Linked DNA regions of Notamacropus eugenii. The protein of the gene in region 1 purifies or fractionates together with the protein of each later gene. This does not show direct contact. Links are inferred from orthologs where the notes say so. Each region holds a gene or a part of one and is shown on either strand. Other genes may lie near its edges.

Region 1 (7,540 bases):
TGGAAATGTGGCAGTGCACCAACTTGACTTCAGTATCAAACCTTATGTTCTAAGCTAGCTGAATTTTCTTGTAATGTCTACCTGTCTTGCTGGCTGGGCCAAATCTGTGTGTTAACTCTATTAGTGGCACTAGTGCCTTAACGTTGGTGTTTGGCAAAGCCGAAGTTCATTATGCTGGCTAAGATTCATTACCATCAAAGCTTCCAACTGCCCCGAGGCTTATCCTCAGAAAAGAACTTGGAGGCTGAGTAGAGATGGGTTGGGGGGAGGGTTGGACTCCACAAGTAATTTCATTAGTATACAAAGCTCCCAATGAGGAAACCAAAAGAGGGTAGAGAGGTTCAGAATCTTGGCTCCTAGGTTCTGAGAAACCTGGCTTCCTGGTCTGTTCAGGCACCAGAAAAGTCTGTTTTTGAAGAAAAGTCTTCAAAAGCTCTGTTCTTTCTGGCCCCAAATCCATCATTCTCCTCCACAAAGTGCGTTTGGACTCACGATTCCTACAAGTCCAGAAGCTTTCCTCTGCCCTCTGCCCAAAGTTTGTGAGCCACTCCTGGTTCTTCAATCTGATGCTTGTGGCTCTCCTGTGAACTCCCAAACTGTAGTCTCTGGTCCACCTAAGTTCTCTGGCTTTCCTCAGGACCCATGGAGTCTGCAACCTTTCTTTATACCCAATACGCACAGTCAGCAACAGGTAGATCAGGTGCATCCCCAGTAGGGCTCATAATGAAAGCCCTTAATGTAACTGAGGTATCAAGGATGATGACACATCATAGGCCCAGGTTACACTCCTTGTGCATTTTTTTAAAAGTTAAAAAATTATGATGTTGAAAGCAAGCTATAGTTTTTAGGAGGAAATGAAAGCCAGTTCATAAAACATTTTAATAATAGCTATAATTAATATAACTTAATATAAATAAATATAATTTTAATAATAGATGTTCAAACTTTTTTGTTGCTCAGTCTTGTTTAGTTTTGTTGTCATTTTCAGTTGTGTCCAACTCTTCATGACCCATTTAGGGTTTTGGTTTTTTTTTAAAGAGCTTAATAGATGTTTATTGACTTGATAACTACTAGAAGACTCAGAAATATACTTTCTTTCATGTAGTACAGCACTCACATAACAATGTACATCAAAGGTTAACCAGTGGCAATGATATTGAGCACAGCTGAAAGGAACTTGGTTCAAATGCAAATTAGATCATCAAGGGCAAAGTTCAAATACTCTCAAATGTAATCCAAACTGAACCTATGTATAAATCAGGCAGGCTTTACTGATTTGAAATAAATCAAGGTCTTTATCTGACCAGAATCCCCAGCCTTTTAAAATCCAAGACCTACAATTTTTCAGCTCCAGAGGGGGCTGCCTGTTTAAAAAATAAACAAATATATTTTTATTTTTTATTATTATTTTATTTGTTTTCAGTGTTCTACAATCACTTCCAATGTATCTTAGATTTTTTCCCCTCCCTCCTCCCTTACCCTCTACCACCCCTCTCCCTCCCTGAGATGGCATACAGTTTTATATAGGTTCTACACATACATTCCTATTAAATACATTTTCACCTTACTCATGTTGCATAGAAGAATTAAAATGAATGGGAGGAATCATAAAACAAACCAAAACGTAATACAAAAGAAAATGATCTGCTACATTCTGCAATCGAATTCCATAGTTCTTTCTCTGGATGTGGAAGGCATTTTGCCTTAAGAGACCACTGGGAATTTTTTAAATCCTTGCATTGCAATGAAGTACTAAGTCTACCAGAAAAAATCCTCATAGACTGTGGTTGTTGCTGTGTACAGAGTTCTCCTGGTTCTGCTCCTTTCACTCAGCATCAGATCATATAAGTCTTTCCAGGCCTCTCTGAAGTCTTCCTGTTCATCATTTCTTATAGCGCAATAGTATTCCATTACATTCATATGCCACAATTTATTCAGCCATTCCCCAATTGACGGGCCTCCCCTTGATTTCCAGTTTTTGGCCACCACAAAGAGGGCTGCTATAAATATTTTTGTACATGTGGGACCCTTTCCCATTTTTATGATCTCTTGGGGATACTGGAGTGGTTTGCATTTTCCTTCTCCAGCTCATTTTACAGATGAAGAAACTGAGTAAAAGGGTTAAATAACTTGCCCAGAGTCAAGCGAGTATCTGAGGCTGCATTTGCACTCAAGTCTTTCTGATTCCAAGCCCTGCCCTCTATTCCCTGCAATATCTAGCAGCCCATTTAACTTTTAAAATACATTTTTAAAAAACCCATTCATATTCACTATCATATGCAAGATGAAGTGGTTAAAAGTTCACAATGTATGGCTTGCCTTGCTTGCTCCCTAATATAAAAAGACTGAGTTTAATTGAAATTTAAACATGCATAGTTCCATATGAAAATGCTTATTTTGATATGAAGTGACCTTCAAATCAAGGTTCTTCTAAGTAATGATGTGTACACATCTACACTAAAAACTCAATCTTCAACGTTCCTCTCCCAAATGAAATAGGTTTCTAGACAGAATACTTTAGACTAAGATAACACATCCTAAAATACCCACTCCATAAAATAACAGACGTGACCACACTCACCTCCAGATCCTTCCGGATACTCTCGAATTCCTCAATGTCATCTAGCTTCAACTCCAGGCGAGTGGGTTTTCGTCGGAGCATCCTGGTAACAGTTCAACACGTCCAAGCCAAATCCACCAAACTGTCAAAATTTAGGGAGAAGGAAGAGGCTCTACAAGAAGCATACTCTGGTGGGGATGGATTTTCTGCAAGCAAACAACGATACCCTAAACGTACACACAACCTCCTGAGCTGTCAGGAAGCCTCAATGACTCTGATTTCACAGCCATTCAAAAATAGCTGCCTGTGAAACACATAGAAACCAAAAGATGTACAATCCACTTTAATCCAGTAGTACTTCAGCCACATTCAGAGAAATGTACAAGTTTATACAGACAGTTAAAAATAACTTTCCTTAATTCAAAATGAATTACCATTTACAAAATGGATAGTGACAATCACTTTAATACCCTTTGCCTGGGTTTTTAGGGATTTGTGACCACTGGCAAAAGTCAAGTTAAGATTTCATTTTCAAATGAATCACACAGTGGTTGACTTCCTAATTCTAAGGAAAAGTCTCTTTGATTCATAACTATATAATGACTTGATGCAAACTTTTTCAAGGAACAAAAAACAGAAATAAACAATTGCGCAGATTTATGCTAAAATGTTTACAGAGGATTACGCTTTGTAACCATTAAAATGATTACAGAGGAAATCAATAATGCTAGGGTCATTTTTTTTAGCACCATTTAATGATCTGAATTTTAATAAACCTTTTTTTTTTTGGCTTTTCATAGACTTAAAAAGTTTTACTGGTGTTTTTCATGTTGTTATTTCTGAATATCCTTTTCCCCTCCCCTGTAACAGATTCCTATTTAGCAGTGTTAACCTCCCCAACTATTAGCATTGATTTAACATCCCTCTCTTCGGTAATGAAGAACAATGGACCGGAGTCCCTCAATGAGTATGCATGCCAGCATATGCTTTCCCACCGTATTTTAGGATTCTGGGCATACCCACCACACTCTCCAGACCCACTTCAATCCTGGAACCAAGATGAACGGCAGGGGATCTGAGATGGACGGAGCACTAGGTTCAGCGCATCAACCGAATATAAATACAGTAGGCAATTTCTGAGTGGTTCTTATTCCCCATCATCTATATCTAGGTATTTCCCCTACCTCCTTAACGTGGGGTGGGGAAGGGGAGGGGATGGAGGATGCCACCCTGCCTTGAACCTGGTCTACTCCGTGGCCCTTAGTTTCGCCATCTGTAAAACGAGAGTTGACCCATTTCCCCTCTAAGGTCAGTGGAATCAGACTGTGAAGGGAGAGGGAGGTTGTGGTTGAGGCTGGAGCCGTCGTTTCCATGACTACAGAGAGGCAGGCCAGCGGACCGAGCAGCAGGGAAGCCGAAGCCTGCCCGCCGGCGGCCAGCTCCTTCCTCCCGGCTCACGTCCCCTTCCCTTTCCGCCCGCCTCGCCCCAGGAACTAGGTCCTCAGCTCGAAGCAGCCCTCATGGCCCAACACCCACCTCCCCCCAGCGCGGCGCGGCTCAGCTCAGCTTGGTTTAGCCCAGTCCCGGGGCGAAACCGACTTCTCGGACCCCTACCGCCTCCAGCCTGTTCCACTCCGCCTTTCCAGCCACCTACCAATCTTCTGTAGGCTTGACCGCAAGGACTGCATCTCCCGACATGCCGCGTGGCCCCTTCCTTATCCGTCGCTGCTGACTACCTCTCCCAGAGTGCTCCGCGCTTCATTCCCTCAGGTTGCAACAGAAGCCCCTAGACGAAGACTACAATCCCCGGCCTGCTCCGCGCCTCCCCGGGCTTCCGGACTCCGTTTAGTTCCGGTTATGTTCTATTTCCGACACGTTTCGAAATTTCCGGTCCCCTGAGCGTGGAGTGAGTCCTCCGGCGGTGGGGGTCAGCGGCCGTGGTGGTCTGCGATTGAAATTCTTACCACAACATGGCTTCTTCTCGAGCTTCGGCTACGGTGCGGCTCTGGCCTTGGTGTTTAGGGATCCTTGGGAGTTCTCCCCACGTGTAGGGGAGCCGGAATTGGCTTCTGCCCTTCCACTGAACCCGCGCTCAGGGAGATGATGGGTGGGTTGGTGCAGAGGCAGGGGGATGGACTCGCCGAGTTCCTGACTCCTGACTCTGCCGCCCCTCCGAAGGGAACTGGCCTCCCCTCCCACCCCGACGGAACTGGGGCCACAGCTGGGGTTTGAAGTCAACGCGGCGGCGGGGGGGGGGGGGGGGGGGGGGAGGGGGGGAGTTGGAGTTCTAAAAGAGACAGTGTGGTAATAAAAAGTTGCCCTGGACTCAAGGTGGGAGATCGGACTTCCCAGCTCTACACGAATTTGGTTAAGCCTGTTAATTCCTGGCCCCAGTTTCCTTCTGTAAAGAGAGAAATCTAGATGAGATGCTAACTTAGACTTTTTCAGCATCGTGTTCTGTCATTGGGTTTTAGTCCTAGCTTTGTCCAGATCCCAGACAGATCGCTGAACCCTAGTTTGTCATCTCCAAAAGGAGAGTTACAAGGAAGCAGTTGTTAGTTCAGGATTGGGGAGGGACTTAACAAAGTTGTGGAAAAGGCTTCTGTGACAGATGGTGACTTCACCTTCACTTGGAAGTGTTTGAGCACAATTTGAATGACTGCTGGTCAGGGATGTTACAGAGGAGATTTCCTGTATCTGCAAAAGGGATGGACTAGATGATGTAGACTCTAAAACTCCAAAATTGTATTTAAAAAGGTGATAATCCCTGATCTTTTCCCTTCGTAGGATTTTTGGGAAGATGAAATAAGATTATGCATGTATAAATGCATTGAAATCTAGAAAGTTCTATAGAGATTGTAGTGTACTTCAGAGTTGAAAAAACATAGACCCCAATTTAGAATTTTCTTTGGTTTAACCAGAGGTAAATTTTCTCATTATGTTTCCCTTTAAATTCACTGCTTAAATTTATTTCAGGTCCTTTATTATCTAAATGACTCTAAAAGGACATTGAATGGATAGCAAGCTCAGTATGCTATTGATAACGTAAATGAACACTCATTTCTCCAAGATAGATTGCACCTGTCCCCAGAGGTCTTACATCTTAATAAGCAGTATCAAAGTAACCTATTGATTGGGAAATCACTCAGAAAAAGATGGAGTTCATTAGTTTCATCCCACACGTTTCTTGTCCCGAACATGCTCTCATGTGAGGGATGCACTAAAACAATTACTACCTTATCTGAGTGGGGAAAGTTCCAACTGGTGCTGTGCTTATTTCTGCAGATCCAGGAATAGCATTTGGTTTCAGAATTAACACTTCAGGCAGTTCCGAAGGTTGCTCCAACTCTAGGTTAACTCTACTTTTTGATTTTATAGGCAACCAAAACCCCCAGTAGGACTCCTGAAGACACTGCCTCCCCTGTGGTGAAGAAGCCTCATATCTATTATGGCAGTTTGGAAGAGAAGGAGAAGGAACGTATTGCAAGAGGGGAGTCAGGGATGTTGGGGAAAGAAGGAATTAAAGCTGGAATTGAGGCTGGAAATATTAATATAACTTCTGGTAAGACTAGTTTTGGACTAATCTTTTGTGTTGCCTGTTCTGCCTGGTCTTAAGTACGGGTTTTCTAGGTTTGAATATTTTCTCCTTTTACTTTGGGCCTTGATTAAAATAAGTTTTGCATTATCAACTATAGTCTCTCCTTGAACTTCTCTTTATGGAAGCGTGATTTATAAATGGTATCTCTGAGACTAAGTTTTACTTTGCCTGCCTCATATCCATGGGCCTTTACATTCTTGGGGATTAATAGTCTAATTTGTATTACATTAGTCTGTCATATGGTTGTAAATTCTACTAGATTTTAAATTCCTTGAAGGTACTAAACCAATCCTTACAATGTGTCAGGTACTGTGCCACACACTAAACATGTGAGTGCAAAGAATGTAGCATTCCCTACAGTTAGGCAACAAATACAAGCCTTAATGGCTGTATGTTTGTATATATACACATATACGTATACATGTATTTATATATTTCATAAATTTAAAGTGAATAAATACAAATATATACAAAGAAGTTAAAAACAAACTTGCTGAACAGATTGTTTTGGCCTTGTATTTACCATAGTGCCTAATGTAGTATGCACTTAAAAGTAGTCATTCTTCTCATCTTGTGTCTTCTCAGACACCTTTTTCTTCCCCACATCTTTTTGGTAGGACTGTTCCTATGAATTATGAGTATTTGTACTAGAAAGTCACTCAGAGTAAGTTCATAGAATCATATTCTGCTTCTTCAAAGAACAAGTTTAACATGGTCCTGATATTACTGTTTTGAGCCATTGTGGTCATGTTTATTTCTTTTGCTTTTTTTCTTTTCCAAAGTTTTTATTTGATCGTTTCCCTATACTACATCTGAACAGCTAAGCCACTGCAGCTTAGCCAAGACTCCCTAGTATTGATTCTAGTTTTAAAAACAGTTTTTTTTTAACCTGATCCTGTCTGTAAACTTGTTTTTTGCTTTTTTAAAAGTTAAAACTTTTAAAATGCACTAAGAGTTTTGGGACAATCCTTTATTTTGTTGTTCAGTCATTTCAGTTGTATCTGAGTCTTCATGACCCCATTTGGGGTTTTTTTGGGCAAAGACACTTCCTTCCCCAACTCATTTTACAATTCAGGTAACTGAGACAAACAGGGTTAAGTGACTTGCCCAAGGTCACACAGCTAATAAGTATCTGGGGCTGGGTTTGAACTCAGGTCTTCCTGACTCTAGGCCCAGCATCTATCTGCTTAGCCACCTAGCTGCCCCAGTCTGTGTCTAGATCACTGTAGTTTGTTGTAGTTGATTTCTGTTGTATATTTCATTTTGTGTATTTAAAAACCTTCTGATAAGGGGTCCATAGGTTTCCCCAGACTGCCAAAGAGTTTCCATGATATCTTGTCCTAGCTTATTTAAATGAGTCCAAGGAGATATTGAATTGATAG
Region 2 (8,193 bases), on another chromosome or scaffold:
GTGAGATTGTTTATACGTGCAAAACATATTTCTATATTAGCAATGCTGCAAAAGAAAACACACACACATACATACACAAACCAAGAAAAAATAAAGTGGAAAGAATCTGTCTCAGTTTACATTTAAAGATCATCAGTCCTCTCTCTGGAGGTGATTAGCACTTTTCATCATGAATCTTTTGGCATTACCTTGGATCACTGTCTTGATGAGAACAGCTTAGTCTTTCACAGATGGGCATCATTACAATACTGCTCTCCCTGTGTAGAATATTCTCCTGGTTCTGCTTACTTCACTCTGCATCATTCATAGAAGACTTCTCAAGTTTTCCTGAAACCATCCCACTTGTCAGTTCTTATGGCACAATCATATACCACAACTTATTCAGCCACTCCTCAATTGATGGGAATTCCCCAAAATGTTCAATTTTTTGCCCCTACAAAAAGAGCTATAATTTTTTTTTTTTACAAATAGGTCCTTTTCCCATTTCTTTGATCTCTTGGGGATATAGACCCAGTTGGTGGTATTCCTGGGTCAAGCACAATTTTATAGCCCTTTGGGCATAGTTCTTGACTGTTGACCAGAATTTGTTGTCCAGAATGTTTGGACCATTTCACAGGGAGTTCTTAGATATTTCAAAATAGCTTGTCTTTTCTATGGTAGAAAGTGACATAATGGAATATAATTATGTTGTAAGAACTGAGAGGAACTGATTCAGAGAAACTTGGGAAGACTCACGTGAGCTGATGCAAAGTGAAATGAGCAGGACAAGGAGAACAATTTATACAAAGACTGCAGTAAATATAAAGTGAATAAGCTCTGATGTGGCACCTACCATGTGCTAGGCACTGGGCTGAGTGCTTTACAAGCATTACTTCATTTGACCTCACAACAGCCCTGTCAGGCAGGTGCTCTTATCATTCCCATTTTGCCGTTGAGAAAACTGAGGCAAACAGAGGCGTTAGTGACTTTCCCAGAGTCATACAGCTAGGAAGTATCCAAGGCCAGATTCGAACACCAGGCCCAACTCTATCCACTGAGCCACCAGCTGCCTCTAAGATAGAATGGAAATGTCAAGAAAAACAGTTTTGAGTGACCAACTATGGTTTTAGAAGACTAATAATGACACTTCCCACCACTGGACAAAGAGTCAATGGACTGAATGAGATGTAACGTTCTAGACATGTGAATTTGTTTTCCTTGATTTATACCCATGTTTCACAAGGGAAGGCTTCTCTTTGGGGAGAAGGGGTAGGTGGTGATAGTGATGCAGAAAAAAATTAAGGAAAAGAAACAAGAATTAATGAAACATTAAAAAATATACAAAAGGTAACACAAGGAAGTTCATAAGGTAAAGATATAGTTATTTTGTTACTATTGTGTTAAACTTAATATACACTTTAAAAAACCAAATTGCATATAATAAAATTCACAGTTCCATAGCCAAAAATAAGGAAGCTAGCCAGCTCTGGGGTGAGCTGAGACAGTGAGCTCTGAAAAAAAAAAGTTCACTCTTCATCATTTTCTTTGTATCTTCTCCTGGGTGCAACAAAAGGAGAGAAGGAAATTCCTCTTCTCTATTGTAAATATTGTCTTGTAGCAAAAACACATAACCATAGGAGACCCCACTACCAGCAGAGGGCAAACAGAAGTCCACCTGGGGACATGAGCAGAGCAGCTAGAGCAGTTGAGAGTCTAGGCCCTAGATCCTGGATCCTGGTGCTCAGGAGACAAAAGATCTCAAAGCATAAGACCTGTGCTAGTCATAAATTATAGGCTCTAATTTTCCAAAAGTGAATAGCAGTGCCCTAGGTCAGAATTTCAGCCAAGTTTGAAACTGGATAGCTACAGGAAGGCAATGAAGCAGCACACAGGTTAGTGGGGGCATTTCAAACACTGTAGTACTGGAGGCATTAGTTGCCCCTCTCCCACGCTCCTGTGATGAGACAGTGCTCATAGACTTCCATAATGTCCAGTCTCTGTAATTCAAAGCCTGTTTCTTAATAGTCACACAAGTACATGATTTAGTGTTTCTAAGAATTTTCTAACTCCAAGTGCTTTTCTTCCTAACTCTGAAGAATTCAACCTGCAGGTTGAACTGGGAGGAAGAGGGCAGCCAGGGCCTGGGGGGTATATTACACTTTGTGGAATCATCTGAGACTACTTATCTTGGGTTTGCATTTGCAGGAGCCTGCTGGGAAGTCTTAAAATCTCCTCTTAGAGGCTACAGTTATAAGATTACAGAAATTCACTGAGAAAGAATCAGTATTTTTCTTTTGGGTGGTTTTTTTTTCAGCTTTAATTAGTCAGTTTTTTATGTCTTTCCTTTACAAGCCAGACCAGTTGCTTTGAGAAAATTTAAATTGAGTCCCACAGTACTTTCATCCTCAAAAATTCCAATCCTGTGGTCACCTCAGTTGCTTGATGCACCTAGGCCTAGCTCCAGTCAAGTTTTATTTCACCCCATGGCCATGTCTTTACCAATTGACATGGTGCCATGCACATACCCTTTGTCCCTCTCCACCTTTCCAATTCTGGAACCATATTCAAATCAACTCTGTCATTACTCCTGGTAAAAGTGTGCCAAATCTATTTCCATAGGGCTCTGCTCACCCATCTTGCTTTCCAAATCAACATATTCCTCTTTTATCACCACTCATATGTTCTGTCTTGTCTATTAGAAGAAAATTCCTGTCTTTCTTTTTGTATTTGTGTCTTCAGCACTGCTTGGCACATAGTATGCATTTATGTCTTTTCATTTATTCATTCTTATATACTGAAATCTGCCTTATTATTGTGTTTATTACGTGTACAGAAGCCGATGTGTGAAGTATGGATGTCGCACTCCTAGAATACCAGTGCCTAGAAATACACCTAGCCCTATGGGACTCGCCATTTAGTATTTAATAAAATTTTAAGGAGATCTGGACAGCCTGCCCTGTTGTGGTCTAAGTCTGGATACTTTGAGATCCGTATGAACTGCAGTTTCTTAGGATAAGATTGACCTGATGGTCTAAAAATCCCAGGTAATAAGCAACAAGTGCTGAATCCTTTTTATGAAGCCCCATCCAACTGTGGAACTTTTTTGAGTTTGATTTCCTTTTTTTTGGGGGGGGGGAGAGGAAGGGAAATAAGATTGATTTCTTTTTAAGCCAGGCTACTGTCCAGTTTAGGACCAGTTTAGACCTCCTTTGGGAATGCTCTACTATAGTTTTACAGGAATCCACTGAAGAAATTTTACAATAGCATCTCTCAGATAAAAAGAAAATAGATTCCTAACCAAGTGACAAATTTATTTAACAAATTTCAGAAAGGTCTTAGGAAACCGGATGCTTGAAAACTCATTTCTCTTTTCTCAGGACATCTGAATAGGCTTTAGTCAGTTATAATAATAGATTTTACTTTATCTTTTAGGCATCTACTTTATCTTTTTTTCACTATCCCAGTCAATTAAAATGTCAAAAGGATACCAAATACCCTAAAGTAAAAAACCTTCTTCAGCTGTAGCCTAAAATCATAAAGATAATACCTGGTGCTCACACCACAGAACAATCTCAAAAGGCAAGTTAATTAAAACTTGCCCTCTTTAAAGACTATTTCTTCAGTACTAAAGCAGAAGCAATAGTAATAGTATCTACCTCGAAGGGCTATCCCAAGTGTCACATGAGATAATGCTTGTAGAGAGCTTTAATTTAATTTAATAGAAGCTCAGGAGTGAATCAAAACAGCTGTGAGAAAAGTTGGTCTTTCCTTTGTCCTTTTAGAGTACAAGAGGGGATCTTTCTCCAAGCAAATTGTCTTAGAGTGGTAGCATGTGGGTGTAGGAGAAGGGTCTGTGCCCAGTAGCAAACCTGCAAGGAGCTCTGAAGTATATGAGTGAACCCAAAACAAGGAGCAGAGAATCCCTGCATAGTAGCACCCTACACCAGAATGAAAGCTGAGTGCAAAGCAAAGTGAGACAGTGGAAACTACAGTCAACAGCAGAGACACCAGACACATCAAAGAGCAGTCTCAATATCTGGGCCTTGGAAAATGTACACTGGCGCAGTCTGACCACCTTTGTTCTTACCCTTTGAGGTATCAATGAAATTATAGGGTTATTTATATATACATATGCTATATTATTAAATAAGATATAATTGTGTGTATTATATATAAGGGTCTTTTATACCCCTTTATCTTGGTCTCCCAGAACCCCATTCCTTTCATTTAATTTCCTTTGCCCCAAATTGTATCTTCTCCAATTGTTCTTCTTCAGTTTCCCTTAGTCCGTGGCCTTAGGGGTTCATAATTCCAATTCTATAAGATTAAGGTAGACTAATTAAACCTTTCTCTCAGCCTTTCCCCCCCTTCCTTTTTGTCCAGCATCCTGATCAGTTTTTCAGGTGGAATGAAGGCCCAGGAGCTGAGAGGATCAGCCCACACCCCTTTGGGGCCATACAAAAAAGCAAGCCAGCCAACTCTGATACATACATACACACAACATGCATACAGGTGTACACATGTGCACCCACATATGTATACACATGCACACACATATACGGGTGTCCACATGTGCACATATATGCATGCATAACACACACGTGCGTACACATGTGCATACACGCAAACATATATACACATGCATACATAACACACATATATAGGTGTACACATGTGCACCCACATATATATACACATGCATACATAACATGCATACAGATGTACAAGTGTGCACACACATATACACATGCAAACACAACACACATACAGGTGTACACATGTGCACCCACATATATACACACGCAGCACACATAACATATACATATGTACACATGTGCACACACATACACAACACATACGTGTATATGTGTGCGTGCACATGTGTACACATGTATGTGTTGCATATGTATACATACACATGCATACATAACACATATATGTGTACAAATGTTCACACGCATGCATACATATGTAACACATATACAGGTGTACACTGTGCACACACATACATACAAATATACACACGCACACATAACACATACAGGTGTATTACACATGCATACACATATAACACATATACAGGCACGCACACACTTCTGGGGGGAGAACTATCCAAAGAGATGATGTGCCTGCGCATGCGCTCAGGCGCACGACACGAGGAAAGGTTCAGAGACAGCGCAGTACTCGGGCAGAACTGAAGGTACGGGGCGGGTTTCGCACAGCGCCCAGCGCTTAACGAATGCTGATTACCTCCACCACCTCCTCGCCAAAAAACAATGATTCTTCCACAAAAAATGTTTTGGGGCTTTGCTAACAGGTGGCATGGCAGCTTTGCCTGTCCAGACAAATAAAATGGCTTCATTTCCTTCATCTTTAAAAAGGAGTTGGGCATCACGCCGTCTAAGATCTCTTTTGGCTCTAAATTCTGCAATTGTAGAACCCCAGAGCAAGACCTGTGAACATTATCTTAGGGTATCCAAGACACCACAACACCCTCTAGGAGGCGCCCTGGGAGAACTACATTGCCCAGCGGCTCCTCCCCCTCAACCCAATCGCCAGCGCTGTGCACGTTGGGAACTGTAGTTTTCTGGTACGTGTGATTAGCCCAGGCCCAAGAGGCCGGGGACTCGCTTTCCCAGCTTGGCGCGCGGCCCCAGGTGCCGTCTGGGTGATTAGGAACCGGGAAAAATGGCGGTCTCTCTGCGACGTTGAGGCCGCGTTGAGCGGTTCAGCTCCGGTGTGGTGAGTCTCGGGTTCTCTGGGAACGAGGACCAGATGGGGGCTCCGAGGCCCCCAATCCCTGGGGAATCAGGAGTGGGAGCGGGGCTCGCGAAGGCACCCTGGGGATACAGGAAGCCCCGGAGGGCGGGGACGGGGTGCATCCCTGGGACCTTTCCGAGGTGATAATGTTAGTAGCTGCCTGCAGCCTCGGGGAGCTGCTTCCGACGGGCGGCAGACGCGGGGGGCCGCTTCAGTGCCTGACGCGTGCTGGGCTCCGCAGGACCGGGAACCGCTTGGAAGGGGCTCTTCCGGAGCCCCCCAGGCCAGCCGCTGGGACACTGATCTCGCACCCCAAGCCGGGCCGGGCCGGGCCCTGCGCCCAGCCCTAGAGCCGGCTGGCATTTACACCACCCCACCCCTGTGTGCTGAGCCCGGGCACTCTGCTCGGCACGGTAGACCGCCCTGCTCGTGGGGTCGTAGCCTAATGGGGACAGTAGCCCCTAGCGCCAGTGACCCATCCCGAGCCCAGGTGTGCAAAAGACATTTCCCTGTCACCTCTGGGAAGACTTAAGGAAGACACGTTTTACTTTTCCAACTTCAGGAAGTATGGCTAGATTGTTATAAGGGACGGCTCTCTGGGAAGGTGGAGGAGGTGGAAGGATGGAGGGGAAATTTAAAATAAAAGATATAAGGAAAATATCCACTTAATGCAAAAGCATTGACACTAGCCAAAAAAAAAGTCTTCATAAGGGCTCGTCCAGTTTGACAGAATCCTAGAAAGGCTGAAGACAGTGTTAAATACTGGATCACAGAGTCTGAACGTTATTGGGTAGGTTGCATAGAGAACCTGTGAAAGGTTTTGGCCAGAGGAATGACGTAAGGAGGAAAGTTAGTTTGGGAGCAACGTGAAGGATGAATGGTGGAGATAGAAGACTTGCTATGATCTCCAAATTTTTCTTCATTTCACACTCTCATCAGTAGATGACTCTGAAACATACCTCCAGTGTATGCATATTTATTGTAAAATGAAATCACAGGTCCAGTGCCTAGCCTATTCTGTATTTGTAATTTGTGAATTGTTAATGTATATTGTAAATAAATTATTGCTGTCATTATGTACATCTTGTGACATCAGTATTACATGTATCTTATGTGTATACATGTATACCTATGTATAAAAACAAGCACAGAAGTAGAAATTCTTAAAGGATGACATAAACTTTATTAATGATACAGAGAAGCCTTTTAAGTGACATTTTTAGTGACCAAATTGTGATGTTCCTCATTGTTTTTAAAAATCTTGGTTTCACACTGATTTTTGGTAGAGAATTTGGTTCTAAGTTTAGTGTATTTTGGTATTTGGTTTCAATGACTGTCACAGCTGGAAAAGAAGATGCATAAGATCCAGGGACCCACATGGAACGAGTGTGTCATTGCCATGCTTAGGCGGAGTCATGATGCACATTTTTCAGTCCCTTCCACCTCTCATGCAGTCATTTTTGTTGAAATTTGGTTAATAGGTTTTCACCTTCCTTTATAGTGTTCATTCTTGCAAACTAATCAGGAGTTATTATCAGCTCCTCATTTTCTCTTACTCCATGTTTGTATTTTTAACAAATGTAGTTAAAACCCACAACTCATTACTTGGAAGATTTTTAAATGGGTTGGAAAATTTTGTTTTGTGTTTTTAAGTATGCAAACAGAGATTTTTTTAGGTGGCAAACCTACCATTTATGGCAATAAAATTTAAGGGTTTTTAAAAAAATGTTTTGTTTATTGTGACAGTTTTGTACAATCGTTAGCTAATATCAGTCATTAAGTGTGTATCAAGCACCTATTATATACCAGGACCTGTTGTGGGCCTTAGAAATACAAATACAAAGAGTTAAACAATCTCCACTTGCAAGGAAGTTCTATCAGGAGAGACAGTAGGTACATATATTATAAGACTTTGCAAAAGAGAATAAATACAAAGTAGTTCAATACAAGATATTTTGGGAGGGAAGATACTAGCAGTTGGGATCAGGAAAGACTTCATGGAAAAGCTGTTTGAATTGTTCTTCATCCTTCATACTCAAAGGGGACCAATGACTTCATGATGTTGGGGTCAAGGTGCAGCGTGTTTGACTGACAGTCTTGGAAGGCTTTACCACAGGTCAGGCACAAATACTCCATTTGAACATCTGGGATGGAGAAACCTCTCAGCTTGTGCATCTTGTGTGTCCTTCGTGCTGCTGTGATTCTGCTTTGCTCCTAGAGCACGGTGTCTGATTCTGGTGAGATGCCACCATCTCCCATGTCCCACAGTTGACGCTAAAGTTTTTCAGAGAGACCCAGCGAGTGTCCTGGTACTGCTTCTTCTGACCTCTGTGTGAGTTCTTTTAGGTGAATGTATGTTTGGTATTCGGGTATACAGAGTTGGAGTGCTTGGCAGTTCAGCCTGAGAAAGAACCTTGTTGTCTAGCATCTTATCTTGCTAAATAATCTTCAGAA
Region 3 (7,795 bases), on another chromosome or scaffold:
CAAGGATTTCAATGATATCCGTCAGGACTTTGTGAGTAGTGAGGCTGTGAGCAGGGCTAGGTTAGGAAGCAGCAGCCACAGCAGCAGCGAGGGGATCGGGGTCCTCAGGCTAGGGCGCCAGCTCACTCTGCATCACCTCCCCAGCTCCCCTGGAAGTCTCTCGCCAGCATCGTCCAGTTCTATTACATGTGGAAAACCACTGACCGCTACATCCAGCAGGTGAGGACCGGTATGGGGCCCATAGAGGAAAGGCAGAGAGCTGCTGTTGGGTGGATGGGGGGAAGCCAGGCCCAGGGACCATCCCACATACTGCTTTTTCCGTTTCTTGTGTCACCTACAGAAAAGATTAAAAGCAGCCGAAGCTGACAGTAAACTGAAACAGGTCTACATCCCTACCTAGTAAGTGGGAGTAGGTGGGTACGGAGGGGAGCCAGGGCATCTTCCTTCCCTTCCCTGTGATCTGGAATGGGTGGGACTGGGAGGAGAGTGGCAGGGAGACTCCCTGGGCTGGGATGGGGTGGAAAGCTGCCACTGGAACCAGCCTGTGCATCCATCCTGTCCTATCTTTTTCTGTCCCCCACCCAGCACTAAGCCGAATCCAAACCAGATCATCTCTGTGGGGTCAAAGCCAGGCATGAATGGGGCTGGATTCCAGAAGGGGCTGACCTGTGAGAGCTGCCACAGTGAGTGTCGGGGCCTGCTTCAGCTCCTATCTCAGTGCTTGAGGGTGGGGGACAGGCTTGTCCCTTCTGACTGCCACTCCACCTGCTGACCTGTTTGTTTCTCTAGCCACCCAGTCAGCACAGTGGTATGCCTGGGGACCCCCCAACATGCAGTGTCGACTTTGCGCTTCCTGCTGGATCTACTGGAAGAAGTATGGGGGGCTGAAGACCCCAACGCAGCTGGAGGGGGCAGCACGGGGTACCACCGTAAGGACCCAGGGTTGGGGCTTGTGGGAAGGGCCCGAGAAATCGAGAGCTTGAGAAAGCTGCCTCTCCTCCCTGACTAACAGGAAGGAAACAGTCTGGCAGCTTTGGATTGTTCCCCTGAGCCAGTGGATCCTGAAGGTGGGGTTGGGGTGGCTCAGATCCAGAATTTTGAGGGCAGTAGGACCCCACTTTGTTTCCTCTTTCCACCAGGAGCCGCACTCCCGGGGTCACTTGTCTCGACCTGAAGCCCAGAGCCTTTCTCCATATACAACTAGCGCCAACCGGGCCAAGCTGCTGGCCAAGAATAGGCAGACGTTTCTACTGCAGACAACAAAGCTGACCCGTCTTGCCCGGCGTATGTGCAGGGACCTGCTACAGCCGAGGAGAGCTGCCCGCCGACCCTATGCCCCCATCAATGCCAACGCCATCAAGGCTGAGTGTGAGAATGGGCAGGAGAGATTTGTTGGAGAGAAGGGGGAAGTGTCCACAAGGTGTATGGACCCTGCCTGGGCTGGGTCACCCAGATTTGGTAACTTTTCTTGCTGTCACTAGGCTCCATCCGACTCCCCAAGGCAGCCAAAACGCCTCTCAAGATTCATCCTCTGGTGCGACTGCCCCTGGCGACCATCGTCAAAGACCTCGGTATGGGACAGGGGGATGGTACAGAAGGGCTGGGAATGGATCTGGAACAAAGGATTTCAGCAAGGTCTTTCTCTTTCCTCTGTAGCGGCCCAGGCTCCTCTGAAACCAAAAACCCCACGAGGCACAAAGACACCAATCAATAGGAACCAAATGACCCAGAACCGCAGCTTGGGGGGCATTGTGGTGAAACGTGCCTATGAGAGTGTGAGTTGGGGAAAAGGGGGGAACATTTGGGGGACTCGTCTTCCTTCCTTGGTCTGCTTGGTCTCAGAGGGGTTGGAAGTAGTGATAATGGCAGAAAATACATACATGTGCTCAAACATACATTTTGCATGTGCACATGCCAGCTTTTACATAGCCTTCTAAAGTCTTCTGGTCCTCACAACTCTGGGAGAACAGTGCTGTTACTCTCATCTGAGGAAACTAAGGCAGACAGGGTCACATAGCTAGTAAGTGAAGCTAGATTTGAACCCTACGTATCCCCTTGTTCTTTCTCACCCATGAAGATTCTAGCCCATTGGGAGGCAATGCTTCCTTACTTTCAGCTTGTTCAGAAGTGGAGTTGGAGGTGGTGGGCTCCTAGAATGATGGGGGATGGGGTTTCACTGCTGAGGGCTTGAAAGCTTCCCTTCCTCTTTTCCAGGTGGTTCCATTTTCAGCCAATGGAAGGCCCCTCACCTCAGGGATTCGATCAAGCACACAGCCAGCAGCCAAGCGGCAGAAGCTGAACCCAGCGGATGCTCCCAACCCTGTGGTATTTGTGGCCACAAAAGACACCAGGTAGTGGGCAGACCAGACAGTGCTGGGCACAGGGGTGGCTGATAGCAGAGACTGGGGGTGTGGAAGCAGGAATAACGGGACTGGGCAGCCAGGAAGGGCCCAGCTGTCAACTGATTGCATCTGCCCTGTCTTCTCTGCTAGGGCATTACGGAAGGCCTTGACTCACCTGGAAATGCGTCGGGCTGCAAGGCGGCCCAATTTACCATTGAAGGTGAAGCCTCCACTGCCATCAGTCAGGGCCCCGATTCCTCCGCCTCTACCCCCACACCCTGCCAGTACCAATGAGCCTATTGTCTTGGAGGATTGAGCATTTTGGGGGGAAGGGAAGAGAGTAGATGGGAAGGCGGCCTCTAGACAGGCACATTTACCTGTGTGTGTGGGTCCTGGGAGGGCATTGGAGAGCTTGCTTGTAGCTTCTGACACCACATCTGCCTCTTCCTTGGCCTTCTCCAGGTCTGGGGGAAGGAAAAGCCCCACATGGGATAGCCTGTTTTTGGGGGTACAAAGGACTCAGTCCTGGGGCAGGTTTTTTGGGGGGGAGGGTTTTTTAAAGTTTTTTTTAATTTTTCCTCCCCTTGTTGGGGAGTGTGGGAGGGGAAAATAAGGTACCAGTTGGTACCTGTGGGGGTGGGGCGTGCACTGCCATGTCTCAAGTCTTGTTTTCTTTTTCTAATTTTGGGTTTTACTCCCATTCGATGTCCAGACTTAATTGGAGTTAGAGGCCTGTGAGCTCGGGCAATCCCAGCTCCTTGTGCTCACTCTTGCTTCCCTTCCCCCACATCCCTGCCTTTTGTACACCAACTCTCAGAAATAAAGACCCTTTGTCTGTTTTTTAACCTTGGAATCTATAATCCGTTCTTAGATCGATAAAAATAAAAAACTGTTTTTCTTCAGCTCCTCCTGGCTCTGCTGCTCTCTGACATGGGATGGGGTCTAGGGAAGAAGGGAGGTCTGATGGAGGGTGGAAAATGGACAGCAAGATTGACCATCAGTCCCAGGAGAGGCTTCCCAGTCACTTCCTGGTGGAAGCCCTTAGTACAGTCTGATTGTAGACACCTCTTTGTTTGATATACCATCTGTTTTGGGGGACAGCTGTCACGGGGTGTTCTAGAGGAGTTGATTCTAGGAATTGGCCAAAGCAACCTGGGTGAGCTGGCGAGTCCCCTCCTGACCACCGTCTTTTGGAAGTTCTGGGATTGGCCCTTGGGCTAAGGCTAGTGAGGCAGGACGCTGCAGGCTAGGAGGATATGCTCGACTGCTTTGGGGTAAGAGATGAAGAATCCCTGGGTCAGTGGAGAGTGAGACCGGGGCCCAGAGTCACAGGAGGGATGCCTGGACAGATGGGGACTATTCACATCCCACACCCACCATGCAAGCTCTGAGGACCGGGACTGCCTGTGTCTTCGGCACCTGGCACCTAGAAGGTGTTATGCCTGTAGGATCTGACCGCCCTCTCCTGGGCTCTGATGCCAGGAATCACTTGAGGGCAGAGGCTGAAGTTACGATGGAAGGGGTTAGGGCAGGCCCCCCTCATCCCTCCCAAGGCTCTCCTAACTTCTCACATGTATACTTCCTGGGCCGAGGCGGTCCAAGTGCACCCATTTTTCAGGTGAAGAACTGAGGCCAGGAAGTTGCCACGGATTCAGTACATTCTGGTGACAACTGCAGGGCGACCCCCCAGGCTGCAGCGCCTCAGCCCACCAGGATCCCTCGGGGCAGGAGTGCTGGAGGGCCGCCGGGGACAGGGCCCCTCAGGGCTGGGCGGTCCGCTGTGGCTAGGGCACAGACCAGCCGGGCCAGGGTCACGCCCACGCGAGTCACTCCTACCCACCGAGGAGTCACGGGCCCTCGGGGGTCCGTCGTCTTGCGTGGGGTTCGGCTCTATCGCCCGTGCCCGAGACGGAGGAAGAGACAGCCGGGGGCACTCTAGCACCCCTCTCTCGGCCCGGCTGCCCGGAGACTGCGGCGGGGCCTAGTCGGTGGCCGCTGGGGTCGTCTCTGCCGGCGGAGAGGCGGAGCTGGGATCCCCTAGCTGCTGGAGACCCGGCCGCTCCACCGTTGCTCATGAATATTCATGTTCGCTCAGGGCCAATCGACGACAGGCGCTCTCAGAGCTGGCCAATCGCGTCACCGTATGCAGATTAACCCGGGAGGATGGGGCTGCAGACCGAGTGCGCAGCCTGAGTCCTGAGACGCGACCGAACGAGCCCCAGATCCCCGAGAGTGGCGGAAGTGCCTTCTTATTGAGCGATCCCGGTGACCCACTTCCGGTAGTGGCGGAAGTCGTGCCTGGCCCGTTCTGAAGCGGGAAATATGGCGGCGACGGAGCCGGATGTGGAGGCTTTGCCGCGCGGGGGCTTCAGATGCTGCCTCTGCCACGTGAACACAGCTAATCGTAAGGGGGCGGGTTGGCGGTCATGGGTCACGGAGCCCCCAGGCCTAGGCGGACGGGGCTGGGCCCCCTGCCCCGAGGGGAGTGGGGGAGCTCTCTTGGTCCCGTAGCTGCGGTTCCGCGGCCTTTGGCCGTTTACTCCAGTGCGGAAACCGAGGGCCCGGGGAAGTTACCTGAACCAGAGATGGGATTCGAACTCTTGTCTACCTAACGGGCTCCAAGTTCGGAGCTCTGGCCGCTGGGCAACAGTGTCTCACGGGGTCAAAAGTCAGGGCGAAGGCAGAAGCCCAGCTGGGGGGCGTGGGGTGGGAGGGAACAGAGGCAGACAGCGGCGAAAAGGTTTGTTCAGGGTCACCCAAGTGTTCGAGGCTGAATTTGAATTCGGGCCCTCCTCGGTCTTCCTTACAAGCATCCAGGCGAGCTCCCCTCCCTTCAGAGGCACAAACCCAGGCACGAGGAAGGCCTGGGTCTGCTTGGCCTCAGCATCCAAGCACCCAGGGCCATCCAGGGTCTAGGAGTTCTGTGGCCACTCTCATGACGCGGCTCTTGGGGCATCTCCAGTGCTGCCCAGGTCACCTGCCTCCCCACTGCCGGCATCGAGGAGACCAAGGGCCAACATCTTCCAAGGCCACGTCCCTGGTACAAGCTTTATAGACCTGCCAGGGTGGGCAGTTCAATGGAACCTCTACCTCCCTGCCATCCCAGAGTTTGGAATGAAGCCTGTGGCCCACCTCTGGTAGAGAGAGAAAGGACTGGGGGCAGAGAACATTCCAGGGTGTAACTTTGTATCTCTGCCCAGATACTTTTGTATCTACCCAAACATCTGCATTTGTGGACATAACCCACACTGAAGGTGTATTGCTTGACCATATTTATTCATAACAGAGATTTTACTGTTCTTGTTTTCTCAATGGGGGAGGGCAGAAAGAGAAAATGAGTCAAAATAAAATTTAATTTAAAAACCACTGTCTTCCACTCTTGAAGAGCATGCCCTTTTATCCTGGTCATTCTCTGCCCATCCTCAGCCTTCCCTCCCTTCCCGTTGTAGGCCTGCTCTGCTTTTGTTTCTAAGCCACTCAAAGAAACCCCAGAATCAGCTCAGCTGAACATTCTACACATTCAAGTGATCTTATCTCAAGTGGACACTCCCTGCTGCAGGACAGTCCTTTCGGTTGATCTTTGATGGACTCTTTCATGCCCTCCAATGGGTTTTCTAAACCTCCTTGTCCAATTCCTGCCCTTATCCCTGATTGAGCTGGTCTGTCTCCTGCTCTCTACCTCCAGACTTTTCTATGTCGTCCTCTTCATCTTCTTTTCTCTGGCCTCTAGAGCTGTGACTTCTCCTTGTCAGAGCCCTTGGCCTCCTGTCTCTTTGTCTCCCCTTCTGTCTCTCCTGAAGACTTTACTTGTCTGTGGCACCCTGGCCTCCCCCTCCACACCTCATGTCACTGCTCCATGAGCTTGCTCTCCCCAGGGTCCTCGATAGCCTTTTCTCAGTCCTTGTCCTTGTGGACATTTCTAAGGGCTTTGTATCCCAGTATCCCAGAATCTCGTCCAGGACCATTATCATGGAGATTCTTTTTTTGCTGCACTCTACTGACATCTCCCCTGAGGTATTTCTGTGGTGCTGTTGCTCCTTGTGAATCATTGTTTTCTCTAACTTTTCAGCCTGGGACCTTGGCACAGGTGTCCTGAGGGCCCACTCCCTTCCCTTCTCCATACACACTCTTCTTAGGGACTCTCTTCTGTAGCCATCTCTATGCAGATCATTCCACATCTCTTCCTGCTCCTCCTGTGTCTTCCCCCTGCCTCCTGGACCCTTTCCCTGGATCTCTTCTGTTCAATCCCAGCATGTTCTGAGCCAAGCGCATCAGTCTCCTGACCTGACTGGCCTCATCTCCCAATCTCATTTCTGCTGTCCTCCTCCTGGGCTCTCACCTCGCATTCCAGTCATGTCAATTCTGTGTCCCTTCTCTTGCCTCCCAAAGTCAGGCCCATGTCGCCCTCCCCCCAACCCAGACTCTTGTTATCTCCTCCTGACTGGTGTCTCTGCCCCCAGTCTCTTCCCTCCCTCCTCTGCCCTCCATCTTCCATCCTCCATCACACTCTCCCATCCTTCCCTCACCCCTCACACCGCCAGAATCATGCCGGGGCCCAAAGCCCTTCTGTGAGTTTTTGTTGCCTATAAAACCAAACCTGGCTTCCTTTGCCTGTCATAGCATGGCATCCCTCATCTGGCCCCTGTCTAACCCCCTTCTGGCTCCCACCGTGCTTTCCTCTTGACCTCCCCAGACTCCATGATTCTGTCTGTGCCTTTTAGGGTCAGCCCAGGAATGATCTCCCCAGGTGATACCCTAGTTGGAGGGAGAAGACCTGGGTTCAAAGGGGATCCTCATGTTTCCTTTCTGTGTGACCCATTGCAAGTCACTTAGGTTCTCTGGGCTTCAGTTTCCTCAACTCTATGTTGAGGGGCCTCCATGGCCTCTTGAAGCTCCACCCAGCTCGAACTGTGGTTTGCCTGAAGCGTTTGGTTTGGCTCTTTCCCCCATGTAGATTAAAACAGTCAGTACTTTGTTGCTGCATCCTTGGAAGCAGCACGTGCTTAATGTGTGTATTTCAGGGCCCAGCCTGGATGCCCACCTTGCAGGCAAGAAGCATCGCCGCCTTGAAGAGCTTCGAGCTGCACGCCGGGCCCAGGGCCTGCGGAGCGTGTTTGTCAGTGGTTTTCCACGTGGTGTAGATCCAGCCCAGCTCTCTGAGTACTTCCAGGCCTTTGGACCTGTGGCCAGCATTGTCATGGACAAGGACAAGGTAGTGGGGCCAGCCTGGGCAAGCCCTTGTGAGCAATCTGATGGAGGAGGGAGTAAGATCCAGGTCAGGGAGACTCTAGGGACAGGCTGGAGGAGATAGGAGATGGTGGGGCTTGGGGTTGGGCCATGGTGATTGGAGAGGAGTGTCTGAGAGCTTTTCTCTGCTGCGGCCTAACAGGGAGTGTTTGCCATTGTTGAAATGGGAGACCTGGGCACCCGGAATGCTGTCTTGTCCCAGCCTC
Region 4 (7,816 bases), on another chromosome or scaffold:
GCATGAGAAGGACGAAGCCCCTCCAAGCAGTGAGGAGGATGAGCTGGCTGGACCAAGCCCCTTCCAATCACGGGGGCTCCCTGTTTCAAGTGCAGCCTTCCTACTTACTGGGATAAAGGGGCTGCTTGGTCCAGCTGGGTTTCTGAATCCCAGGTCCACAAACTTGAATGAGGAAAAGAAAGACACTTTCATTTTCACTAACCTCTCTCCATGAAGTCTAGCATTTTCTCCAGATGTTTAAAAACACTATTCTGAGAAGGACTGGCCCATCAGCTTCATCAGGTCCCCAAAAGGGCCCGCGATACAAAAAAGGGGAAGGCCCCAATGAGGTCATTTTATAGAAAAAGGAAGGGCCAATGACCCAGAGACTTGGCTATGGAAGCCAGAGCTGAATGGGGGGCCAGCAACTGAGGCCCAATCTCTGCCTCCCATCACCAGCAGGCTGACTTAACCTCTCTGGGCCTTCGTTGCATCATCTATAAAAAATGGGAGGCTTGGACCCGCTCTATGACCCTCTGATATGGGAGAGGTCACACAGAATAGTCAAAGGAAGAGCCAAGCTGGGCTCTGAACCCTGAACTTCAGACCTCTTCCCTCTCTTAAGGACTAAATTAGGAAATGGGTGAGAAATGCCCTACCCAATCACTCACTCCTTCAGGCCTACGAGAAGCACTCCAAGACTTGTCAGCGGAATCAGAAACAACACTGGAGTAATTAGTTCGCCCCTACCATACCCTAAAGTTCCTGAAGGCCTGTCCCCTGATGGGCAGAGCTCTGGGTGTCAACCCACTCCTCAGAACAGGAGCTTCTTGAGGGCAGGGGCGGCCTTGCTTTGCATCCCCAGAGCTCTGCCCAGATGCTCATTCCTTCATCGTGCTTTCCCTCACCTCCAGTCTCAGCCCGATCCCTCCCCTGCCCCACCCCCACCAAGCAGGAAGGCCAGTGGCATATGCCAGCCAGCTCCTCACCTTCATTGGCGCCCTTTCGGAGCTGCTTGTAGTTACAGGATTGCTGTACCAGGTCCAGAAGCTTTTTGGTGAGCTGGGCATCAGCCAACGGGTAAGCTTTTGGGTTTACTTCAGCCTCAGTCTAGGAAAGGGGAGGAGAATTGGGGGTCAAGGCTTCATTAGCAGCAATTTACAGTTCAAGGGCCAGGGAAGCATCTAGTGAGGAAGCAAGGTAGGACCTTCTGGGTATACCCTGTGCCCAGGTGATTCCCTCCCCCTGCCCATCAGGGTTCCTGATGGTATAATCAGAGCAGCTGGCATTTCTAGAGGGCTTTTAGGTTGGCAAAGCATTCTCCTCCTGCCATGCCAGCTCTGGTCCCTGGAGGACAGTCTCTCAGCTCCCTTATGGCACCTCCTCCAAGAAGCCCAGCCTGATTGGCCAGGTGCTAAGCACATCTACTGTGTTGACTTTGTGTTTCCAATAGGTAAAGAGCTAGCCCCTTTGGTGCAGGGACCAATTCCCTCTTCCATTCCAGTCCCCAGCCTAGGACAAGGATGCTACTAATCAGTGGGAGAAGTGCTTACTCAGCAATTGGAATCAACAGCATTTCCCAAACGCCACTTGGGAAGGCAGAGAGCTAAGACCTTCTCCAAGACTATTCCCCACCCCCTAGGGGGAGACAGGCCCCAGTGGGGCAGTCTGAAGAACAGCACAACAGAATGAAGCAAATCCTGAATGCCCAAGGGTCAAAGGGTGCCCTGTCCTGGTGGGGAAAGCCCTAGACTCTGGAAGAGGATGGAGCTCAGTGCCAGCTCTCCATCCAGCTGGAGCAGCCTAAGTCCCAAAGAATCATCATTCATGGGTGACAGCATTGAATGCTTCACCCAGAATACCACCAGCTGTAGGGGCCAAGATCTGGGATCAGAATGCCTTTCCACCTTCTCTCAAGAGTGACTAACTCCTGCTTCCTGGGGCCCAAGGAGGCCCTCAAACCTTAGTCCAGAACCTTCCTTAATAAGGACCCCCAATCGACAAGAAAGCAAAGACAAAACCTTAAACTGCCATCCTTGAGAAGACGTGGTTTACAGATGAGGAAACTGAGGCTGGGGGGATGAGGGAAGCCAGGGCTGTGACCCAATTCCTCCTAGATTTGGGAGTCAGAAATGCCCTTGGCAATGATCTAGTCCAACACCTTCGTTCTGTCTAGGAAAGTCATCAAGCGTGCTCAGCTTCAGAGCCATGCTGTCCATTCCAGGACCCCTTCTCCAGCCCTTTGGACCAGTTCCACTTTCCCCTCCCAGTCGGCCTCCTCCCTGCTCCCACAGCTTGGCCAGTCAGGGGTCCAGGCAGCTCCAACAGCTCCTCTCCTTCCATCGCTCCGGGATGTGCCCCGTAGGGCACAGGTTCCCTCCCTGCTCGGACATCCTCAGGGGCTCCCTACTGCTCCTGCCCCGGCTGACCCTCGGAGCCCGCCACAACCCTCCGGGTCCTCAGCCTCCTAGGCACCGGCTCCGGACAGGGAGGGTGCCCTGGGCAAACCACGGAGGCTCTCCACGCAAGGACAAGCGTCCGCCCGTGGGCGCTGACCTGCCCAGGGCTCCACGAGCCTCGGCCGCGTTCAGGCTCCTCGCACGATGGATCCGCGGGGGTCCCCGGTCCTGCCACGTGCCTCCCTCGGGCCCAGGGCTGCCCCCCAGGGCCGCCAGGGACGCCGGGCTCTCGGCTGCTCGTGGCGGACCAGCGGGGCCGCACTACTTATTTACTATCACTTCCGGACTCGGACCGTGGTGCCCCACGCCCGGGCCCTCTCCTTTCACCCCGCCGCTGCCTACGGACCTCAAGCCGACACTGCGGGGGGCGGCCGCCTCCGGCCACGCTTCGCCACGTGCTCGGGGTAAACTGAGACCACTGGAAGCCGCCTCCTCCGCCCCGGCCGGCTCTTCCCGCCTCGCTCCCACGTGGACTCGCCGAGGCTCGGCCTCTGCTCCCCAGGGCCGCCACCGCGCCCCGACTCCACGAGGCGTCTCCTCCGGGCGGGCGCGGCGGAGAGCGGAGCACGGAACGCAGAGTCTCCACTCTCACAGCCTCCGCCCCACCCCCACAAGGCCGGGAGCCCGGCAGAGGATACAATGTTTCCACTTCCCCAGCCTCGAGCTCGCAGCCGCCCCGCCTCCGACAGCGGCCGCCGGAAAGGCTTCCACTTCCAGGGCTCCGCCCGGGCCCCGCAGCGCCTCCCGCGCCCCCCAGCCCCTCGGGCCCGGATCACTCACCATCCTGGCGATCCTGCAGTCGGAAGAGCGCTGGGATCGCGGGAGCAGGACGAGTCCTCTCGGCCCGAAAGCTTCACGGAGGATGCCTGGAGTGGAAAAGGCCCCGCTGGGGGCCGGGGGAGGAGGCTGCTGGGAAAGGGGGCGGAGCCACGCCCGGAACCCTTGGGCCCGCCCCTCCCTCCGCCCCTCCCTCCGCCCCTGCCGCCGGACGTCTCCGTGCGCTGCCTGGGGACTCGGCTCCTTAACCTTGGGAGAAATCTCCGGGTCGTGGTACTACGGGTGCGTCTCTCGGCGGTGCGATCGCTCCAGCCTGGAGCCGGCGCTCTGGGCCTCGGGGCGGCACCTGCTTTCCGCAGAGACCCCCGGGCTGCAGGATCAAAGTCGGAAAGGATCGTCGAGGTCCCTAGGCCAGGGGGTCTTAACCGGGGGCCGGGAACACGCACACACACCGCACACACACGCAGACACACGCACACACACACACATACGCAGACGCACACACGCACACACACACCACACACATCACACACACTGCACACATCACACACACCCCACACACATCACCCCCCCACACACACACATACGCAGACACACACATACGCAGACACACACATACGCAGACGCACACACACACCACACACATCACACACACCCCACACACATCACCCCCCCCCCACACACACACACCACACACACACATACGCAGGCACACACGCACACACACCCCACACACATCACACACATCACACACACCCCACACACATCACACACCACACACACATCACACACACCACACACACCACACATACATCACACACGCACACACCCACCACACACATCACACACACCCCACACACACATCACACACCACACACACATCACCCCCCACACACACACACACCACACACACACATACGCAGGCACACACGCACACACACCCCACACACATCACACACATCACACACACCCCACACACATCACACACCACACACACACACACATCACACACCACACATACATCACACACGCACACACCCACCACACACATCACACACACCCCACACACATCACCCCCCACACACACACACACCACACACACACATACGCAGGCACACACGCACACACACACCACACACATCACACACATCACACACCACACACACACACACATCACACCCCACACACACATCACACACCACACATCACACACACCACACACACACACTTTAACAACTTTCCATGCAGCAGCAGCCTCCTTGCGGTTCCTTTAACAAGACCCCCATTTCCCCCCTCCATGCTTTTCCACTCGCTGTCCCCAGTGCCTCAGCAGTATTTCCCTGCTTCCAAGTCTGGGCTTCCAGGCTTCCCCATGCCTTCAGGTCAGCTAAATTTCACCTCCTGCAAGGTTTGCTCGACTCCCCTTAAAGGTCATGCCTCCCTCTGGGGATGAAGTCCGATTTAACCAGTGGGAATCTTGTTTGGGTACGTGTTCCAATAGTCTTAGTGTGGCTTTAAATTGTAATCGTTTTACTGCCCTTAAGATTTTGGCCCCCCCCACACACACAGTTGCTGACACATTCCCCCCACCGTTTACCCTTTAGACTGTAAGACCCTTGAGGGCAGGGGTCACAATTATTTGTCCTTTTGTATATCTCCATGCATAACCCCCAGTCCCTGACACTGTATATTTTATAGTAGACACTATAAAAATGCTTCTTGACTTGAATATAATTATTTTCCTTCCTTATTTTAAGTATTTTATTGTATGCACGTAAGAACATGATTCTGAGAGTGGTTCATAGGTTTCACCAGAATGCCTAAGGAGTTCTGTCTTTGCAGTCATGTCTGACTCTTCCTGACCCCGTTGGGGGTTTCTTGGCACAGATACTGGAGTGATTTGCCACTTCCTTCTCCAGCTCATTTTACAGAGGAGGAAACAGAGGCGTTTGAGATGATCTGCCCAGGGTCACACAGCTAGGAAGTGTCTGAGTCTTCCTGACTCCAGGCTTGGTGCTCTATCCCCTGGGCCACTCAGCTGTCCCTAACTTTCAAGAAGGCCACGACACAGAAAAGGCTAAGAACTCCTGAAGGAGTCAGACTCCCTCAGTGTACAGATAGGGAAGCCAAGGCTCAGAGAGGTGGAGGGGAGGGACTGCCTAGGATTTCACAGACTAATAATAGCAGAACCAAAAGAACACCATAAATGGCAGCTCCACCTGGTGACTCTAAATGGAGAATGTGGCCTGTTTTATCAGAATGGACACTAGCTACTGGAGCCAAACTCTTAAGTCTTTGTCACAAGAGAGAGTTCAGTTTCAAGGAACACTCAGAGGGGAGGCCAGGGTTAGATACTGAAATGACTAACTTTAAAAACCAAAGGCATCACTAAACCCCTTTAGGTTTTGTTTTTTAAAAAGAAAACTGGTGGAGGTTTGAGACAGATGCTTCCTCACCAGCCACCATAGCTGCCCTCCTGCCCCACTGGGTTCTGAGACTTTGCCACTTCTAGTGGCTTCTCTTGAGGCTGTTTTTCAGCTCCTTCAGCCTTTGCCCCAAAGCCTGGCCCAGGGCCCTCTGCAACCAGCAAGCTCTCAATGAATACCAGTGGAATAGAATGGAACCCTGCCTACCTAAAAGTTGTGTGACCTTGGACAGATCACCTGGCCTCTCCAGGCCTCAGTTTTCTCCTCTGTAAAAAGGGAGTTGAAAGCGATGTCTTTTTCTCTGCATACCCAGAATCTAGCACCTAGTATAGATGTCCTTTGTGCACCAGGCAAATGCCTGGAATCTCCAGCGTTTTGGCACTTAGTTTTGTCACTTAGTACTTAATAAATGCTCACTGACTGATTGGTTCATTCATTCATAGGGTCTTAGATTTAGAGTTTGAACTGAAGACATCAATCCATCAAGTATCTGCCAGGCAGCACAGGGCCAAGTGCTGGGATACAAGTGGCCAGGCATTTCTTATGCAGATGACTCTGACTGAGCTTCCTTTGGTGATGCAGAAAGAGCCCACTGGCTCATGAGTTTTGGAGAAGAAAGCCAGTCCTTCTCAGAGAATCATGCGAGACCCATCCTCTTTGGGATGAATCACAGACACATGGGGAAAGAAAGGCAGACTTGCACGTATTTTCAAACTTTTTCAACTGATAATCATTTCAGATCATTTGGCCCCATAAGGGCCAAAGCCTGAACTAATCAAATAGACGTGCTTTGCTTTGCTCTAAAAATGCCCTTTCCTGCGTCAGCAACTTTAGGACCAGATAAGGCTGACAAGGAGCATTCTTCCTGTTTGTGACCATTAAGGACAGGATGCCAGCAACCAGAATAGCAAGGCTTCTATTATCTTGGTATCCAAGGGAAACACATATCCTGGGATTGTAATTGACACTACTTTGTCAATTGTCAATTTGTATTTATGACTTATTCAACTAAGAAACTTCCTTTCTCATGGTATGGTTACATGTATGGAGACCATACATCCAAGGGACATAGACATCTTGAGATTGCGATTGTTCTTAAGGCTGGTCATTCGTTTATCAGTCAGTCAGAATTCACATTCTGGCTCCTCATACATACATGTTCGCTAGCTTTGGCTAGCTTTAAGGGAATAAACAATATGAATTTATATGCCACCTAGTCTGTTTGCCTCCTTTAACCAAACTTTCAAGTTGACACAATATACCATCAGTTGTGGTAATAATTTTTCCTCTAAAAATACTATTTGTTATGTGGCATGGCTCTGTGGGAGAGATCTGTCGGATAACTATGATGATGTGAGAAGACACCAGTAAACACTTAGAAAAAACAAAAGAAAGAAAGAAAGAAAAAAGACTTTGGAAGTGAAAGACACTTGGGGAAGCTGGTTTCTCAGCATGCCCCTTGCCCTAGTGAGAGGCCTTCAGGGAGTTCTAGCCTCAGAGAGATCAGGGCCTTTGTCCTGGCAGAGCCAGACCTCATCTCACTCATCTCACTCCCATCTAAAGAGCTCATTCCCTCGTGCATTTTCTGTTATATTCGAAGCTATGTAACTTCTCTGATTTACACTTGCGATGGTCTTTTGGGTAACACCATGTGGTAGGGAGGCAAGGAAGCTAAGGACATGCTAGTCCAAGGAAATGACTTTTTTGTTCTGAACCTAAAAACTGTGCCCCTTGACCAGCAGAGTTTAGAGGGGCAAATTGATAAGGTTCTTCTGGTCCAATGCCCTCTCAGAGCCTGCAGAACAGTGGCCAGCTTCAGAGCCCTTCTGCTCCCCTCAGGGCAGGAGTCCTAGTCTGCCTTGGAGAGCAGTGGGCAAGATCCCAGACATTCAACTCCTTCCACAAGCAACATCTCCAAAGCCTAGGAGCCATATACATCTTGCCCAGGCAACAAAAAGCACAGACCAAATAAATCTGTTGTTGGCTCATCTTTCAGTCATGTCTGACTCTTCCTGACCCCACTGGGATTTTCTTGGCAGAGATACTAGAGTGGTTTGCCGTCTCCTTCTCCAGCTCATTTTACAGGTAAGGAAACTGAGACAAACAGGGTGAAGTGACTTGCCCAGGGCCACCCAGCTAGGAAGGGTCTGAGGTCAGACGAGTCAAGTCAAGTCA

Evidence for each region.
Region 2: the proteins of PRPF4 (region 1) and DDX23 purify together in Homo sapiens (affinity purification with mass spectrometry; 4 studies listed by BioGRID and IntAct, counting the BioPlex papers as one, with this or other methods). This does not show direct contact. The link is inferred for Notamacropus eugenii from reciprocal best matches to the Homo sapiens genes PRPF4 and DDX23.
Region 3: the proteins of PRPF4 (region 1) and TUT1 purify together in Homo sapiens (co-immunoprecipitation; 3 studies listed by BioGRID and IntAct, counting the BioPlex papers as one, with this or other methods). This does not show direct contact. The link is inferred for Notamacropus eugenii from reciprocal best matches to the Homo sapiens genes PRPF4 and TUT1.
Region 4: the proteins of PRPF4 (region 1) and SNU13 purify together in Homo sapiens (affinity purification with mass spectrometry; 4 studies listed by BioGRID and IntAct, counting the BioPlex papers as one, with this or other methods). This does not show direct contact. The link is inferred for Notamacropus eugenii from reciprocal best matches to the Homo sapiens genes PRPF4 and SNU13.

Annotation. Positions count from the first base shown.
Region 1 is NC_092872.1:478,475,037-478,482,576, reverse strand, and holds the start of PRPF4 (U4/U6 small nuclear ribonucleoprotein Prp4), read left to right. Parts: upstream 1-4,431; 5' UTR 4,432-4,530; coding exon 4,531-4,557; intron 4,558-5,938; coding exon 5,939-6,122; intron 6,123-7,540. Other genes in the region: anaphase-promoting complex subunit CDC26, read right to left, coding at 2,582-2,662. UniProt on the Homo sapiens protein: Plays a role in pre-mRNA splicing as component of the U4/U6-U5 tri-snRNP complex that is involved in spliceosome assembly, and as component of the precatalytic spliceosome (spliceosome B complex).
Region 2 is NC_092874.1:220,629,696-220,637,888, reverse strand, and holds the start of DDX23 (probable ATP-dependent RNA helicase DDX23), read left to right. Parts: upstream 1-5,133; 5' UTR 5,134-5,721; intron 5,722-7,957; exon of another isoform or gene 7,958-8,071; intron 8,072-8,193. UniProt on the Homo sapiens protein: Involved in pre-mRNA splicing and its phosphorylated form (by SRPK2) is required for spliceosomal B complex formation.
Region 3 is NC_092873.1:15,715,225-15,723,019, reverse strand, and holds the start of TUT1 (speckle targeted PIP5K1A-regulated poly(A) polymerase), read left to right. Parts: upstream 1-4,622; 5' UTR 4,623-4,664; coding exon 4,665-4,746; intron 4,747-5,304; coding exon 5,305-5,382; intron 5,383-7,363; coding exon 7,364-7,554; intron 7,555-7,731; coding exon 7,732-7,795. Other genes in the region: metastasis-associated protein MTA2, read left to right, coding at 1-31, 145-219, 341-399, 586-683, 790-929, 1,140-1,368, 1,482-1,571, 1,657-1,775 and 2 more. UniProt on the Homo sapiens protein: Poly(A) polymerase that creates the 3'-poly(A) tail of specific pre-mRNAs. Localizes to nuclear speckles together with PIP5K1A and mediates polyadenylation of a select set of mRNAs, such as HMOX1.
Region 4 is NC_092874.1:300,682,064-300,689,879, forward strand, and holds the start of SNU13 (NHP2-like protein 1), read right to left. Parts: upstream 3,464-7,816; 5' UTR 3,222-3,463; coding exon 3,219-3,221; intron 1,090-3,218; coding exon 969-1,089; intron 1-968.